2 linked regions of the Stegostoma tigrinum genome follow. The protein of the gene in region 1 purifies or fractionates together with the protein of each later gene. This does not show direct contact. Links are inferred from orthologs where the notes say so. Each region holds a gene or a part of one and is shown on either strand. Other genes may lie near its edges.

What was found.
Region 2: the proteins of smarca1 (region 1) and chromatin remodeling regulator CECR2-like purify together in Homo sapiens (affinity purification with mass spectrometry; 3 studies listed by BioGRID and IntAct, with this or other methods). This does not show direct contact. The link is inferred for Stegostoma tigrinum from reciprocal best matches to the Homo sapiens genes SMARCA1 and CECR2.

The regions. Positions count from the first base shown.
Region 1 is NC_081368.1:32,753,558-32,761,576, reverse strand, and holds the start of smarca1 (probable global transcription activator SNF2L1), read left to right. Parts: upstream 1-4,962; 5' UTR 4,963-5,143; coding exon 5,144-5,203; intron 5,204-7,327; coding exon 7,328-7,378; intron 7,379-8,019.
Region 2 is NC_081371.1:27,549,087-27,556,369, forward strand, and holds the start of chromatin remodeling regulator CECR2-like, read left to right. Parts: upstream 1-4,244; 5' UTR 4,245-4,294; coding exon 4,295-4,435; intron 4,436-7,283. Other genes in the region: adenosine deaminase 2-like, read right to left, coding at 2,560-2,875. UniProt on the Homo sapiens protein: Regulatory subunit of the ATP-dependent CERF-1 and CERF-5 ISWI chromatin remodeling complexes, which form ordered nucleosome arrays on chromatin and facilitate access to DNA during DNA-templated processes such as DNA replication, transcription, and repair.

The sequences.
Region 1 (8,019 bases):
ATGTCACAGAGCCCACCCCTTCTTATCCAAGAAGAGCCCTTTGTAACATAAGCATGATTCTGTGTTCTGAGGAAGAGTCACTGGACCCAAAACGTTAACTCCAATTTCTTTCCACAGATTCTGCCAGATCTGCTGAGCTTTTCCAATAATTTCAGTTTTTGTTTCTGATTTTTAGCATGCGCAGTTCTTTCAGAGATTTTTTATTCCCATTATAACATACCCTAACCTTTAATGTTTTAACAGAGATCTGTAGCTTGGGTATTTGCCAGTTACTCACAGACACAACCACAATGAGCAGGACAAATGTGATACATAAAATACCATGCAGCAACTGTGAGAAAAATGAACACGAACTCACAGCAAAACAACACAACAAACTCTCCCCTCGTTTGACTACACTCTGACATAAAAGGACTTGAATTTGACTGGGACAAAGTCACAGTAATAGGACAAGCAAGATAAAGACAAACAAGCACTATAATTCCTGGAGGTCTGGTTTTCAACCACTGGTGCAATAAGCAAACATGTTGAAATTGATCCCATCTACGTACCACTTAGGTACAAAACTGGAAGCGACTATCCACCAAGACAGACCGGACCATATAAATTCAGAGCAGAACAGAACAGTGCTTCAAGGAAGGCGAGACAGCACTGAAGGTGTCACTTAGAAAGGAGACAAAACGTTTGCATGAAAACCAGGCAGCTCAGTGAACGAACCAACAGGGCAGCACAGTGGCACAGTGGTTAGCACTGCAGCACCAGGGACCCGGGTTCAATTCCCGCTTCGGGCAACTGTCTGTGTGGAGTTTACACATTCTCCCCGTGTCTGCGTGGGTTTCCTCTGGGTACTCCGGTTTCCTCCCACAGTCCAAAGATGTGCAGGCTAGGTGGATTGGCCATGCTAAATTGCCCGTAGTGTTCAGGGGTGTGTGGTTATAGGGGGATGCTGCAAGGGGCGGTGTGGACTTGCTGGGCCGAAGGACCTGTTTCCACACTAGGGAAACTAAACTAATATCCCACCGTCTGGTTTCTTTGTCAACTTATATAAAACAGTCAGCTTCTTTACGCATATACACACAAAACAATTATGCCTCAATTCCTCCCTTTTCCAGCTGCCAACTTTGGTCATGTTTCCGGACTGTCTCCTGCCCCAATCCATCATTCAATTATATAGCCTTTTCTGGGCATCACCAAAACTTCTATAACTGACTCCCTCCCATTCTTTAGATGACATGTCCATCATGGGCCTCCTGCACTGCCACAATGATGCCACCCGAAGGTTGCAGGAACAGCAACTCATATTCCGCTTGGGAACCCTGCAGTCCAATGGTATTAATGTGGACTTCACCAGCTTCAAAATCTCCCCTTCCGCCACCGCATCCCAAAACCAGCCCAGTTCGTCCCCTCCCCCCACTGCACCACACAACCTGCCCAGCTCTTCCCCTCCACCCACTGCATCCCAAAACCAGTCCAACCTGTATCTGCCTCCCTAACCTGTTCTTCCTCTCACCCATCCCTTCCTCCCACCCCAAGCCGCACCTCCATCCTTTGATGGGTCTAGGCCCGAAACGTCAGCTTTTGTGCTCCTGAGATGCTGCTTGGCCTGCTGTGTTCATCCAGCCTCACATTTTATTGTCCTATATTCTCCTTTTCTGTGCTGATGAGTTATTGCCTGTCCTTATCCTCACTGATTCCTGTGCAGCCTTCAATGCATTTGATGAACACTCATTCTCCAACACCACTTCACTGGTGTCCAATTCCCTGGGACTGCACTTTCTTGATTCCATTCTTATCCATTTACTTGTCACCAGAGGATACCTGGAAGTGATTTTTGTAATTACCAATAAAGTGTCACCTCTAGGCAACACCAAGGACACCTCTTTAATCCTTGCTGTACAAGCTGCCCCTCAGTGACATCACCCATAGCCATGGGTACCACTGCTACACAAATATCAAACATTTCACACAACCTCACCACTACGTCAATGATGTTATACTACTTGATGGAGAAACTGAACATTGGAAAGATCAATATGCATGCTTTTGGCTCTGGCCATAAACCTTGTACGGCAATTCTATCCTAACATAGCAACCTAACTAGGACCAAATTAAACTGTTCCAACCTCATATCTTCCCGATCAGAAAGACCACTAAATTTCATATTGCGTATGTCTATCCCTTTCTCAGCCCATATCCTGCTAAAACCAGCCATTCATCCACCTGAGATCAATTACCTTGACATTCTCCTGGCCAGCTTCCAGCCCCCATAAACTTCAGTTGAGCCAAAGCTCTGCTACCTGTACATATCACAGGTTAAGTCCTGCTTTTTCAGTAACCTCACCATACGCATTCCTTGGCTCCAGATGTCAGAATGTTTCAAATTCATTTCACCGAAATCTTATTATTCTAATAAACATTTCCACCCTTACAATCACACAAACTTTTCTTTTACACACAGTTATGTTACATACCCTCATCCATTCTCTTTAAGGCATTAATTTAAGCCTGCTTAATTCAATGATAAAGTGTGGAAGTTGGCCATTTGGCCCATCACATCCACACTGACCCTCTGAAGAGCATTCCACGCAGGTCCACCACCTAGCCTTTCCCTGCATTTCTCACCCTAGACCCTATGGGCAACTTAGCATAGGCAATCCATGCAATCTGCACACCTTTGGACTATGGGAGGAAACCAAAGCACCTGGGGAAACCCACACAGACACATGGAGAATGTGCAGACTCCACACAGACAATCGCCCAAGAATCAATGATAATGGGAACTGCAGATGCTAGAGAATCCAAGAAAGCAAAGTGTGAAGCTGGATGAACACAGAGATGAAGGGTCTAGGCCTGAAACGTCAGCTTTTGTGCTCCTGAGATGCTGCTTGGCCTAATGTGTTCATCCCGCTTCACACTTTGTTATCGCCCAAGAATCAAATCCAGATCCCTGGTGCTGTGAGACAGCAGTGCTAACCACTGTGCCACAGCCTTTCTTTGGAACATCAGCCCTTTTTTTCACATCTGTGAAGTGCTTAGGAACTTTTGTCTATGCTATAGATGGTATATAAAAGCAAGTTGTCATTGAAATATTTCAGATATATTTATTCAATTACATAGACTTACAATGAATGACTTATTATACATCACCCTTAAATGGTAGAAAATGAAGTGTCTGTAAAAACAATGTGAAGAAAGCTGGTAGAATGTCCCACTTACATATTTCCCATGCCCATTAAAAATAAATTCTGAAAAATTGGTGGAGAAAATCTATGCCTTGATGGGTAGGCGGTAAAGGAGAACTGAATCCACAATCAGATAAGCCATGATTACATTAAATAGTGAGCAGGCCTGAGTGGCTGAATAGCCTACTGATCATAATTTATGTCTGTATATCTTGGTCACTGGTTTTTCAATTTAAAATCTGACATTTGTCAAAAAACAGCGACAGTATTTCTTAGTAAATACGTTTTTTAAAATCAAGTAATTTTCTAGCACTGTTACTTTCACCTTAAATCATAAAAACAATGTAGAATAGCAAGGACTAGAAAAGAGCCTTTGAGGGAGCTAAAAATCTCCCATTAACTACTAATATGAAAAAATAATCAAAGTGTATGTTCAAAAATACTTGTGGAGTAAAACAATATACCGAGTAGTGTTGTAGAACTCATGTAATAGTTAATGATACTGATTGCATCAGTACTAAGTGGGTGTAAAGCTAACTCATTTATCACTGCAGGACTCAGCCTGCCATAAGCCTAGCAAGCAGTTACAAAGCAGTGGATAACTTGTGGATTTTGATGATATCATAAACATCCATATCATCAGACCCACAATATTTGGTGCCAATGTAAATTCATTTATTTTCAATATATCCAGGCAGGATAATTTAAATTGTTGAATTCAAAGCTTCTCTCAAGTGAGTTGAAACCCCAAAGCAGGTTGGTACCCTTATGGATTGGTTCTTGAATTACAATCTTTTAGCTTTAAGATTCAAATATTAATTATACTGCACGTAAATGTTGGTCATAAATCTCTCCAACTGCACATGCAACTTCTTTTGGGGGTCTATAGTTGATGCACATATAAGGAAAAATCTCCAATATTTTTGCATTGTTATTATGATGAATACATGATTTCTATTTAAGAGATTGTGTTTGAGTTTCTTCCTGTCATCAGATTGTGCGAGAATGGTTTAGTATATTAGTTCCAGTAACATCAAAAGTTAGCCCAATCTGTTTGAGTATCCGATTCTTCAAATAAATAATATCGGAATTTTAATTTACCCACACCCCTCGTCAAAAGGCCGATTAGTTATCAGCTTAATGACAAGTAACAATGTTGTGACAATTGCTTTTGCAATTGGGGAAGCATTATCAAAATATGTGGGCTTTGGCATTTTTTAAAACTTAGTGTACTACTGTGGACCATGTTGTTCACTTGCTGCAGAAGGGCACGACTAATAAAAACACAGATATTCCGTTCAAAACAAAAAGAAGTCTCCTTTATATCGTAGTTTCGAGATTGCCGGTGTATAGTGACTATGGAAATCTATACAGCCTGTGTTAACTGGCTTTATACCAGAAAATCATGAGAATAATGTCGTTGCTTGCACCGAGGCATTCTCCCAGGTTTGTTTCATTACCACATCAGGAGTACAGCCAAAGACGTAAAAAAAAGTCTCCTAATCTATGCACCAATTATCAAATCCTGCCCGAGAGGTCGAGTTGCAGTCATGCACCAGCTAGGAGACTGAACATTCTCTAGGATGCAATTAGTCCAACTTCACGATGTAAAATGAGTAGCCTATCCCCTGATCTTCGTAGGAAAAGAGGAAGGTTGTGTTTGGTAGCTGATGGTGTGCACATGTGTGAAATAAGGAGTGGCAAGACTTATTCCCATTCGAACTATATCACAGACTGGCACAAGAATCTGCCGAACGATTGGCGGAATGGTGAGAAGTCTCGCGATGTTTGTAGAAAATGACAGAACGGGCGGGGGGTGTAGGTTTTCATTTGGCTTTCTCAATAGCAGTGCAATAACAATGCGATGAGGAGAATCTGAGTGCAAGCGAACGCCTAAACCGGGTTGCTTTGGTTTGTTGTTGTTTGTAACGCAGACAGCAGAGAGAGAGTGTGTCGGCAGGATGAGTGAGGAGGAGGAGGAGGAGGCGGCCAGTACCTCTGGCCAGGGGGACACGCTTGGGGTGAGTGTGTAACAAAGTACCGGCTCATTGTTTCCAACTTTGTATCCATTGGCGATGGAACGCCGGGGGAGTAGCAACGTTCGGTGGCGGGAAAACACCGCCGTTCACCCTGAGGGACGCTGTTGCCAATCAGTTGTTCAAGTGCTGCGGGCTCCTGTTTAATAAAACAAACAAACACACACACACGTAACACACAAGGGTGCCGAGACTGCACTGTGACTGTTTATTGTCCTGCCGGAAGCACGGGGAGAAGTGCTTTTTATTTTTAAAAAAGAATATTATATAAATAAATATTTTAGCCTCAGTCCGTATTCGGGCCTCAGTTTGCGTGCTGCGCGCTGGCCAGTCAGGGTAAGCTGTACAGGAGGATAAAGCCTGGGAAGTCCAGGCCTTTGCTCTCCTTTCTGTACGTCAGCGCTGGCCACTTGCGTGTATCAATGTGCACTGAGGGACACTGGTTCAACTGAGGGCGAAAATAAACACGATTTTTAAAAAAAGAATACCGAAAGCGAATGTGGTTTGCAACAGTGACTTCGAACCCCCCCCCCCGTTTTAGTGTGGGAATGCTTAAAAAGGCTGCTGAGAGAGCTTGACATATGTAAATTGAGTTGGTGCAGAAACATAAATAACTGGAATTACACCAAATAAAACAAGATATTACAGCGGAACTAGATCACGTCAGGAGAAACTTACTCAAAACGGTAGCAAATACACAGCACCTTGTCACCTCTCCGGGAAAGCAAGACCTAATTTTGAAGTGCAGTGATTAACCTTTTATAATGGACATATACTTAGACCAAACGAGTTAGCAAAAACAAAAATATTGGTCATGTTCACGTTGCTCACATGCTGTGGTGTGAAGGCAGAATAAGCCTGCTAGAGGGACATTTTGATGAGCTGCATAGCATATCTCAACTGAGACTTATAAATTATTTCCTTAATAATGTGACAGTTAAAACTTGTTAATTGCATTCAAGGTCTACAGTGCTACCATCTTTATTCCCTTTGCAGTACATGCAAGGAAAAAGTTGGCTGCAAAAAGTGACTTTAATGAACACCACAGAACTGACTAGTATTTTGTGCTCCTGAGATGCTGCTTGGCCTGCTGTGTTCATCCAGCCTCACATTTTATTATCTTGGAATCTCCAGCATCTGCAGTTCCCATTATCTCTGATAGTATTTTCTGTCGTTTCCCTCCCCATAGTATGATCACAAGGGAAAAATGGTATGTCATGAGTTCAGTCCAAGTGGTTATAATTAATATGTAGTACTCAAACACTCCACAGACCCTGCTGTACCTGAAACCGCAAATAGTATCATGTCTTAAAACACCTCTACGTATTTTTATTGGCTTCCCATGATATCTGCCCACTCTTCAAGGTCCTAAAATGCTGTTGAATACTAAAATACAACTTAACAGCATCTCTCTCTCTCTCTCAATCCTTTCAAATACTGGGAGACCAATAACTCCTTCCTCACCTCAACTCCCTGCTCCACCAAACCCCTTAATCTGTGTTTAAGTAGAAACAGTTTTAAATAATGCCTTTAGGGTTTTATATCATCCCTTCCAGCCTGGGATTAATATTCTTCACTCTAAGGTAATTTAGTACATCATATTTCCTCTTCCTTGGTTCACTAAGTCTATACAGCCATCGCTGGCCAAGGGCTTCTTAGGACTGCCCAACTCAAAGGAAAACGGAAGATGACAGCCTCCCTCTCAAAGCTGTGGATGTTTCGACTAAACATTAAAAGAAACAAGTTCCAGAAGTCAGTAATAAAACTTGAGACCCTATTATTTACCTTGCTGTGTATAAACCAATCTAAAATGAATAAGTACAAAATCCATTTGTGGTGCGCAAAAACCCAATTGCTCTCAAGCCAGGCCCGAAATCTGTTTATGAGAAATTACCTTGGCTACTGAAATACTTGCAAGTTAATGATTAACTTCAGACACACAGAAAACCTACTGGTTACTAACTCAAAACACAAAAGCACAAACTCACAATAAATGGTTATGAATGGATATAATACACATCTGTAAAACATAGTTTGCTACACAGAAGTTAAGTTTATAGCTGCTGTGCAAAATGATTGAAGTAATGCGCCACTAATGTTTTTCCTCAGCTGTGTGAACAGGCTGGCCCTGAAGTTAAACAAGAACCTTCAAACGTGCAGGTATGTGAATAATATCACATTGGGCTGTGCAATCTAGAATGTACAAGGTGCATGACATTTATTCTTTAACTTTTGACACATCTGTGGTCTTCCAAGCTTGTTCTACATAAAACTTTCAGAAGTAGTTTCGTTCAAATTTCAGGTGCATCTTCTTGCAGCCAAATTTTTGTTGTTGAATAACTTGTTATGAAGTTATTTTTGATTTCCTGTTTTCCTAATTTTCCCAATATTTTAAAGTTGTTTTCAAAGCTCATTGGCTGTATGAAAAATGAAACAGTCATGGAATTACCCCTTCCCTGGAGTGGTGCAGCTAATGGCCAGAAAGCGTAGTGAGAATGAAAAAGTGAGAACCTCGATTTCGAGAAAAGAATGATTGATTTACCCCTTAAACTTTAAACTTTGACTTCAGAATCTTGCTATTGAGTGATGACTAACTTATTTTGATGCAATTGCATTTCATTATTAGTCCAAATCATGTCTCTGTAAATATTTTACATGTGTTGTGACCTTTTTCATTACATCCTGAAATGGGACTTGAACCTGGACCTTCTTGCCCAGACGTAGGGTAACTACCATTACATTGTAAGTCTCTCATTGTAGATAGATTTTATTAACTACTCATATTACAGCACACACTTCCC
Region 2 (7,283 bases), on another chromosome or scaffold:
TCACTGGAAAGCAATAAAAGTTGATTAAAGGTTTTGCACAAAGCACTATCATACTATTTACACAGAAGAATTCAGGAACAAGTCATAAATGAATTTATGTGAGCACATGTTGTTTGGTTATTCTTTGCATAATTGATTCCTCTCAACCCTGGTCTCGAGTTTGCTTTTATTTCTAGAATGCAGGTTACACCACAGAAAAGTAAACAGATCCAAGTTTGATACAAAGTGCAAAGTTCCTATATTTCAAAAGGTCACTTCTTGGCTCTACAGGCACGAAATAACATTTCAACTCATTTTCATCAATTTCATAATATCTACAAACCTTTAAAGGAACAAAATCAGAGTCATCTGCAACCTTCTGAACCCTCACCGAACTGCCCTGTCAAAAATTACCTTTTATTCTGATCTTTTATTTCTTAAAAGAAAATACACCAATATCTCATGTTATACAGAATACTTGAAACATCCTCTCAGTTCACACCGTGGGAGATTCACCAATAATATATAAAAAGCTGTTACATTCCCTCAGTAACGGTTAACAGTTTGTCTTGCATTCATAGTTTTTCTTAGTTTGTGCTTTGATAAGTGCCTCCTCCCCAGACCCTTGATCAATACAGTACACCTCCAGATTTGTGAAATCCCCAACAGTCACACATCATTTTATCCAACGACTCACCAAACACAGAGGTAACAAGAATTGTAGACGCTGGAGTCAGAGTCAATACAGTGCGAAGCTGGAGCAACACAGCAGGTCAGAGGTGCAGGAATGTTGACATTTCAGGTTTACACCCTTCATCAGGGCTGGGGAGGGGGGCAAAAAAACAGAGCTCAGAAATAAACGGGGAGTTGGGTCAGAAGGAAGGAAGGTTGGTGACAGGTGAACACAGGTGGGGGCTGTAGAGATTGGTCAGTTGCAAGAGTAGGGTGGAAGGTAGGAAAGAAGATGAACAGAGTGTGTCAGATTAAGGAGGAAGGGATGGGAGGGAGGGTTAGACTTGGGATGAAGCCGGGGTGGGGGAGATTTTGAAACTGATGAATTTTATGTTCAGGCCGTCAGGCCACGAGCTCCCCAGTCAAAGTATGAGGTGTTGTTCCTCCAATTTGCGTGTGGCGTCATTGTGGCACTGGAGGAGGCCGGCCCAGGATGGACATGTGGCCCAGGGAGTGAGAGGGAAAGTTAAAATGGTTGGCAACCAGAAATTGTTGCTGATTATAGCAGACAGAGCACAGATGCTCTGCAAATCGGTCACCAATTCATCAACTTTACCAACACCTTTCACCCCAACCTCAACTTCACCTAGACTATCTTGGATACTCCTCCCCACTTCCTGGACCTCTCCATCTCCAGTATCTGTCTCAGCACCAACATCTATTTCAAAGCCACTGACTCTCGTAGTCATCTTGCCTACGCCTCCTCTTACCCACCCTCCTACAAGAATGCAATCTCTCACTCCCAATTCCTCCACCTCCACATCATCTGCTCCCAAGATGGAGCATTCTACTCCTAGTCAAACCTTACCCCCTCCGATGATCCAAACTGCCTCAACTGCATCTCCCGCACTTCTGCTCTGAAATCCCCACTCCTCAACAAAAATAAAGACAGAGTCCCCTGGTCCTCATATACCATTCTACCAACCTCTGCATCCAGCAGGTCATTCTCTGCCACCTGCAATCTGACCCCACCAGAGATATTTCCATCTCCACCGCTTCGGCCTTTTGTATGGGCCGCTCACTCCGTGACTTGCTCATCTACTCCACACTCAGCACCTTTCCCTGCAAGTGCTGGAGGTGCAACACCTGCCTCTACAACTCCTCTCTCACCTCTGTCCAAGGCCCAAAACAAACTTTCCATATCCGACAGGGGTTCACCTGTAGCATCCTCCAACCTTCAACACTGTATTCCGTTGCTCCCAATGTGGCCTCCTCTGCATTAGTGAGACTGAGTACAGACTAGGTGACCGATTCACGGTGCGTCTGCACTCTGTACACTATAACCAGCAACACCGTTCTGTTTGCCAACCTAACTTCCCATTAACATGTTCATCCAGGGCCTCCTCCAGTGTCCCAATGGTGCCACACACAAACTGGAGGAACAACATACTCGGCCTCTAATGGCCTGAACACAGAATTCACCAGTTTCATCTCTCCCCACCCCAGGGCCTATTTCCAAGTCCAACCCGCTTCCCCTCTCGTCCCTGCCTCCTGGACATGAGGCAACCTGTCCATCTTATCTCCCATCTATCAGCCCCACCCAACTAACTGACCAATTCTCACCAGTCCCTACCTGCATTCACCTATCACCATCGCACCTACCTTTCCCAGCTCCACCCCTGCTCTCTATTTATTACACAGCTCCCCTCCCAGTCCTGGATGCAGGGTCCCGAACCGAAACGTCGACGTTCCTCACTGCCGAACCGGCTTGATTCCTCCAGGTCTACACTGTATGTTGAATAAAGTGGTCATTTTATCTTCATTTGAAAGTTTTTTAAAAAAGCCAGTTTTCTAAAATATCCGCAACCCATTACGCAGTCGATTAATAAACCTCATATCATTGCTTACCTTTGGGCATCATCTGTATAATTTTAAAAACTGGACTTTGTTCAATTAATTCTTTTGCTCTGAAAAAGTGCATAGCTGGGGCAAATTTACCAGTTTTCATTCCTTCCATTATCTCCTTTGCTTTGATTCTCTTAAGTATACAATTAACCTGCAGTTCTTTTTCAGTCGAGAGGAGATTACCGCCTGTAAATTGGAACTGCTCCAGTTTTATCAAACTAGCTCGGTCGGCCGGAGTTGGAAACGTTTGACACACCGCAAACAAACAAAAGAAAAAGGAAAACACAGCTGCCTCTTTTCTGAAATTTGGTGCCTTCATTTTCAAAAGACCACACGGTTCTGTATAATATTCAAACGTTAGCGAGAACTGACGAGAACACGAAACGTGCAATCAATTATAAACTCAACTTTCGCTTCTGCAAAGATCTTGTACTTCCCTTTAAGGGGACAGCTGAAGTAACTGGACTGTTATTTGATATAGGAAACGCGTGCACCCACGTAAAGAGAAATTGTCACTTGTGTCCTGATGCCCATGACAGAAGGGTGACTTTTTTTAAAAAAAAGCAGTCACATCTCTGCTGATTACTCGGGGGCAAGGATAAGAAGTCGAATACATTTAACGCAATCAAACACCGAAGTAAAGGGACTGGGTGTTTTGGCAGGCGACAGCATTGAAATGGATGGGCGGTGCACGGTGTCACTCGCCCTTTCCCCAGGGAAGGGGGTGGGGGTGGGGATGGGGATGTCTTAGGGGAGTAAGGAAGGTTTTAGCCCGAGCGCGGGCTCCAGAACAACAACAACCGTTTAGAACGCGGAGATTCTGGGAATGGAACGTTGGGTGATCCAACAGAAACGCTCGCGCACTCTACCACTAGTTGCAACCTCCAACTAAACAACAAACGATAAGGCTCTCGACACCAATTCTAAAGTGCAGGAACTTAATATAGCAAGGAAGGAAACTAAAGAATAGCTCGATTATTCAATGGATAGTTTTCTCCCCACCCCAGTCATTCCTTCCCAAAATCCACAGACCAGCCTTATTAAACAAACTCGACGTTAAAACCCCCGGGGTGCGCACAATATATCCAGGCACTTCGCCCCACCTCCCCCATCCCAAAGGACAGCGCGGCTCAGCCCATTGGCTGGTACCCAGGAGACCTCTGCGTCACTTCCTGTTGGTGGCGACGAGCCTTTCTACTTTCTCGCGGGGGTGTCTGAGTTCCGAACGTGGCAGCGACTGCCCAACAAGCCGCCATTCTCCCCGTTGCCTCGGGCTCGGCCCGGCGTTCGCCATTGTGCACAGCAGGGGTGGAGGGCTGTCGGCAGTTTTGGTGAAGGGATGCGCCGGGCGTTGAGCAGTTCAGTGCGTCCTGGTCTCCCTCCGGTGTGTTGAAGGATTGGAGCACTCCCCTGTTGTTGTCCGGCCATCTGTTCCTCGCTGAGAATGGGGCTGCGAGATTGTTCCAGGATTACACACGCACGCCTGCACTGAGAGAGAGAGAGGGGAAGGAAGGAAGGAAGGAAGGAAGGGGAGAGAGAGAGAGAGAGAAGAGGAGAGGAATAGACCGGCAATGGCAGGCAGCGCACACACTTAACACCCAGCACATTCCTTACGCCAACCGGCACTAGGAGACTGGAAACAGAGGGGGTCTGGTGGAGGGGAGGGTGGGGGTGGAAATTTACACAAGGAAGCCAAGTTCGAGGAAAACTATCTCATGTGAGGACAGGGATTTATTTGATGCCATTTAAAATGTCCGAGGAATGTACATCTTCGACCGTTTCGGTAGAAGAAATTCGTTCTTGGTGGGAAGTACCCGCCATCGCACACTTTTGCTCTTTATTCAGGACAGCATTTGGGCTCCCAGACTTCGAAATTGAGGTAATTCTGTTTTTCCCTTCAATGAGTTATGAGACTTTTTTCTTTCCTGTAAATGATTAAGTTGCCTCTCGAAGCCCCTGTCATTTCAAAGAATTCAAAGTTAGTAATCATATGGATACAGGATGTCAATCTCGCCTCCCAGCTGCTGGCTCAATTCTATTGTGGTTCTAAAACGGCTCGATTGCAATCACCGATACACTGATGTGGACTTTAATCATCGTTGTTTACCTTTTGTTGTATAAAACGTTTGTCTTAGTTTTAAAAAGTTTAATAAAGTTGGTATCTCTTGGGCTTGAAAACGGGAGGACATGGTGTGTTCCTTTCGTAAAGGAGCGTGCCTTCCGATAAGGTGCTGCCGTTCTTCATGATCTGCTCTGCCACACATCCATCATAGCCATGGCATTGTTTAGGAGAAAGACGAGCCACATGCTGCTAACAAAGTTAGCTGATTACCCTTTTAAACTACAATTTTTAGTAGAAAAGCCTCCGACGAACAATATATACCCAATAACTTTTAAAATGTATATTTTAACAAAACGGAGTCAATATCAGCGTAGGGGCGTTTCGCAAATTGCTCGATTCATCGGCAAGGCGCAGAGTATTTCGGTCTATTTCGTCACTGTTGATAAAACACAAGTGTAACAAATTAAACTTGCTTAGACGATCTTAAATTCGATTTCTGGCATATAGGTCTTACAAAGAAAACAGCATGTTCGTTAACGTTCTGCAACCCGACTGGGAAACGAAATTCAGAGAATCATTCGATTTCAAGTAAAATTGAACAAACACAATCATTCATCCTGCTCTGTCCGATATCTTCTCTTCTCTTCCCCCCCCCTTTTTTTCCCCCCCATTGTTGTTGTTTTTGTTCGGCGAGTCTATTGTTTAAAGTTGTTTCTCCGGGAGGGAGGGGAGTTGAAAGGCTTAATTCACAACAAACGTTTGCTGTGATTCTGGGAGGAGTTTTTGTTTAAAATCCAAATACGATGACTTTTTTTGTATGTATGAAGTTGCAAGTGAGAAACCAAGTCCCTGACTTGAGTTGGTGTTCAATGTGTTTTAAACGTAGAATATGCATCTTGTGTGAGGCATGTTCTGCAGCTCTGATCAAAATTCTCTCTTGCTATCTTTGTGGGTCTCTAAATGTGTCAACCAACCATCAACTAGACTACGAATGCTCTGTTTATTTTGAAGGATAAGTTTGGTTTTTCCTTCGTTGAAATGCAACAAGTTGTTTATTTCCTCCATAATAGATTTCCAATTTAAAATACCTTGCTGCGTTGTTAGCGATATATGAAAGAGAACATTCTAGAAATTTAACATGTTGGTAGGACGAAGCGCCCACTCCTAAAATGGAGTGACCAGTTCCATTTTACCTTTTAACCTCCCGCTGCCCTTCTCTTTCTGCCACACCCCCCAACCCCCCTCCCCCCCCACCCCCACCGAAATCCATTCACTGGTTTGTTTGATTTCCCGTGCTTGCTGTAAATAGTCTGCCGATCGGTACCTCCGTGACAGACTGTATTCTCGCACTTTTCAAATTGTTTTGCTTGTGGGCCTAGTGAAATTGCTACTTTTATGCGTGTTCATTTTGATTTCACAGTTTGTTTTACAATCATGTTGCTGTCCTTGGTAGCGAAATTTTTTGGTTGAATACATACACTTTGGTTGTAGTTAGTGTGTAGTTTAGATAATCTGAGGTTGACGTTCATTTCATTTCTCACTGTGTTTACAGTGGCTACTTAAAAGTAGCAAATTGTATAACCAGGTAAATCTGTTTGGTTTGGGGTGTGGGAGTTTTTCTCAATGCGTAAACAATCTGGTACTGGTGCTTTACCCCATTGAATGAGTGGCACCAACTGCACATGGAACTCTTATTCCATAAGCCGTTTCTACTCATCATAACTTGCATTTGTACAGCACATGTGGCATTTATCAAGGTAATTTGAATGCTGTTTCTGGCTGGCCTTTATTCTGGCTTTGGAGTAATACCATTGTGAAATCGGATGACACAGTCCTGCAGTGTATGTTGATTGTGATGTAATTCTCGTACATTTAGCAGATGGCTGCATCTTTTTTTAAACCTGCCAGCTACTCGCATTCAGCTGGTCACTGGATGTGCAATTTAGAGACTTCATACCTAGCATGAAGTACATTGTTTGTGAAATAGTTACTTTTGATTCAATAACTCTTGTCACTGGTGGCAGAAATAGTAAATGCATTACTGCGGTTTCAATTCCTGGTTCTCTGCTGAGGTGCCTGACTTGAGTTACAATGAGCTTCACTACTTTAATGATAGTATTTGAATATGTAATGAAAATAGGATCTGGTTTTGGTGTAGCGCTCATGTGCGAATGCCTATTTAGACAAACATCAGATGGTGCGTGGCATTCATTTGAGCTGTCGACCAATATGATTCAGTACCTTCAGGGAAGAATGGGGAAAATAATGAACTATATACCAGAGGTGTAGCTGCAAAAGTAATTTTTTAGCTGTGTAAAACTGTAATCATTAATTTGAAACAAGCCATGAAAATGGAGGTATGTTACAAGTTTGTCTGGTAGTGAAACTCATTGCAGTTGAAGTACTGCAGTTGAAAGACTGAAAAAGATAAATGTGACCCTTTTTTGAATATGTTATTGTTGCTGCTTGTAGAAATATTCCCTGAATTCTTGGTGGCAGCTTTAAGGTAGGATCAGAACATGTACTTGGAGAGTTTGCAATAATTCTCATCCCATTGAAATCGCAGCTTAGTCTGTTGGAAAAATGTGGTTTAAAGAACAGATATATCCTTAGCAAATTTGAATCTTTATAAACTGAAGAAAAAGGAGTATATTTTTTATAACAA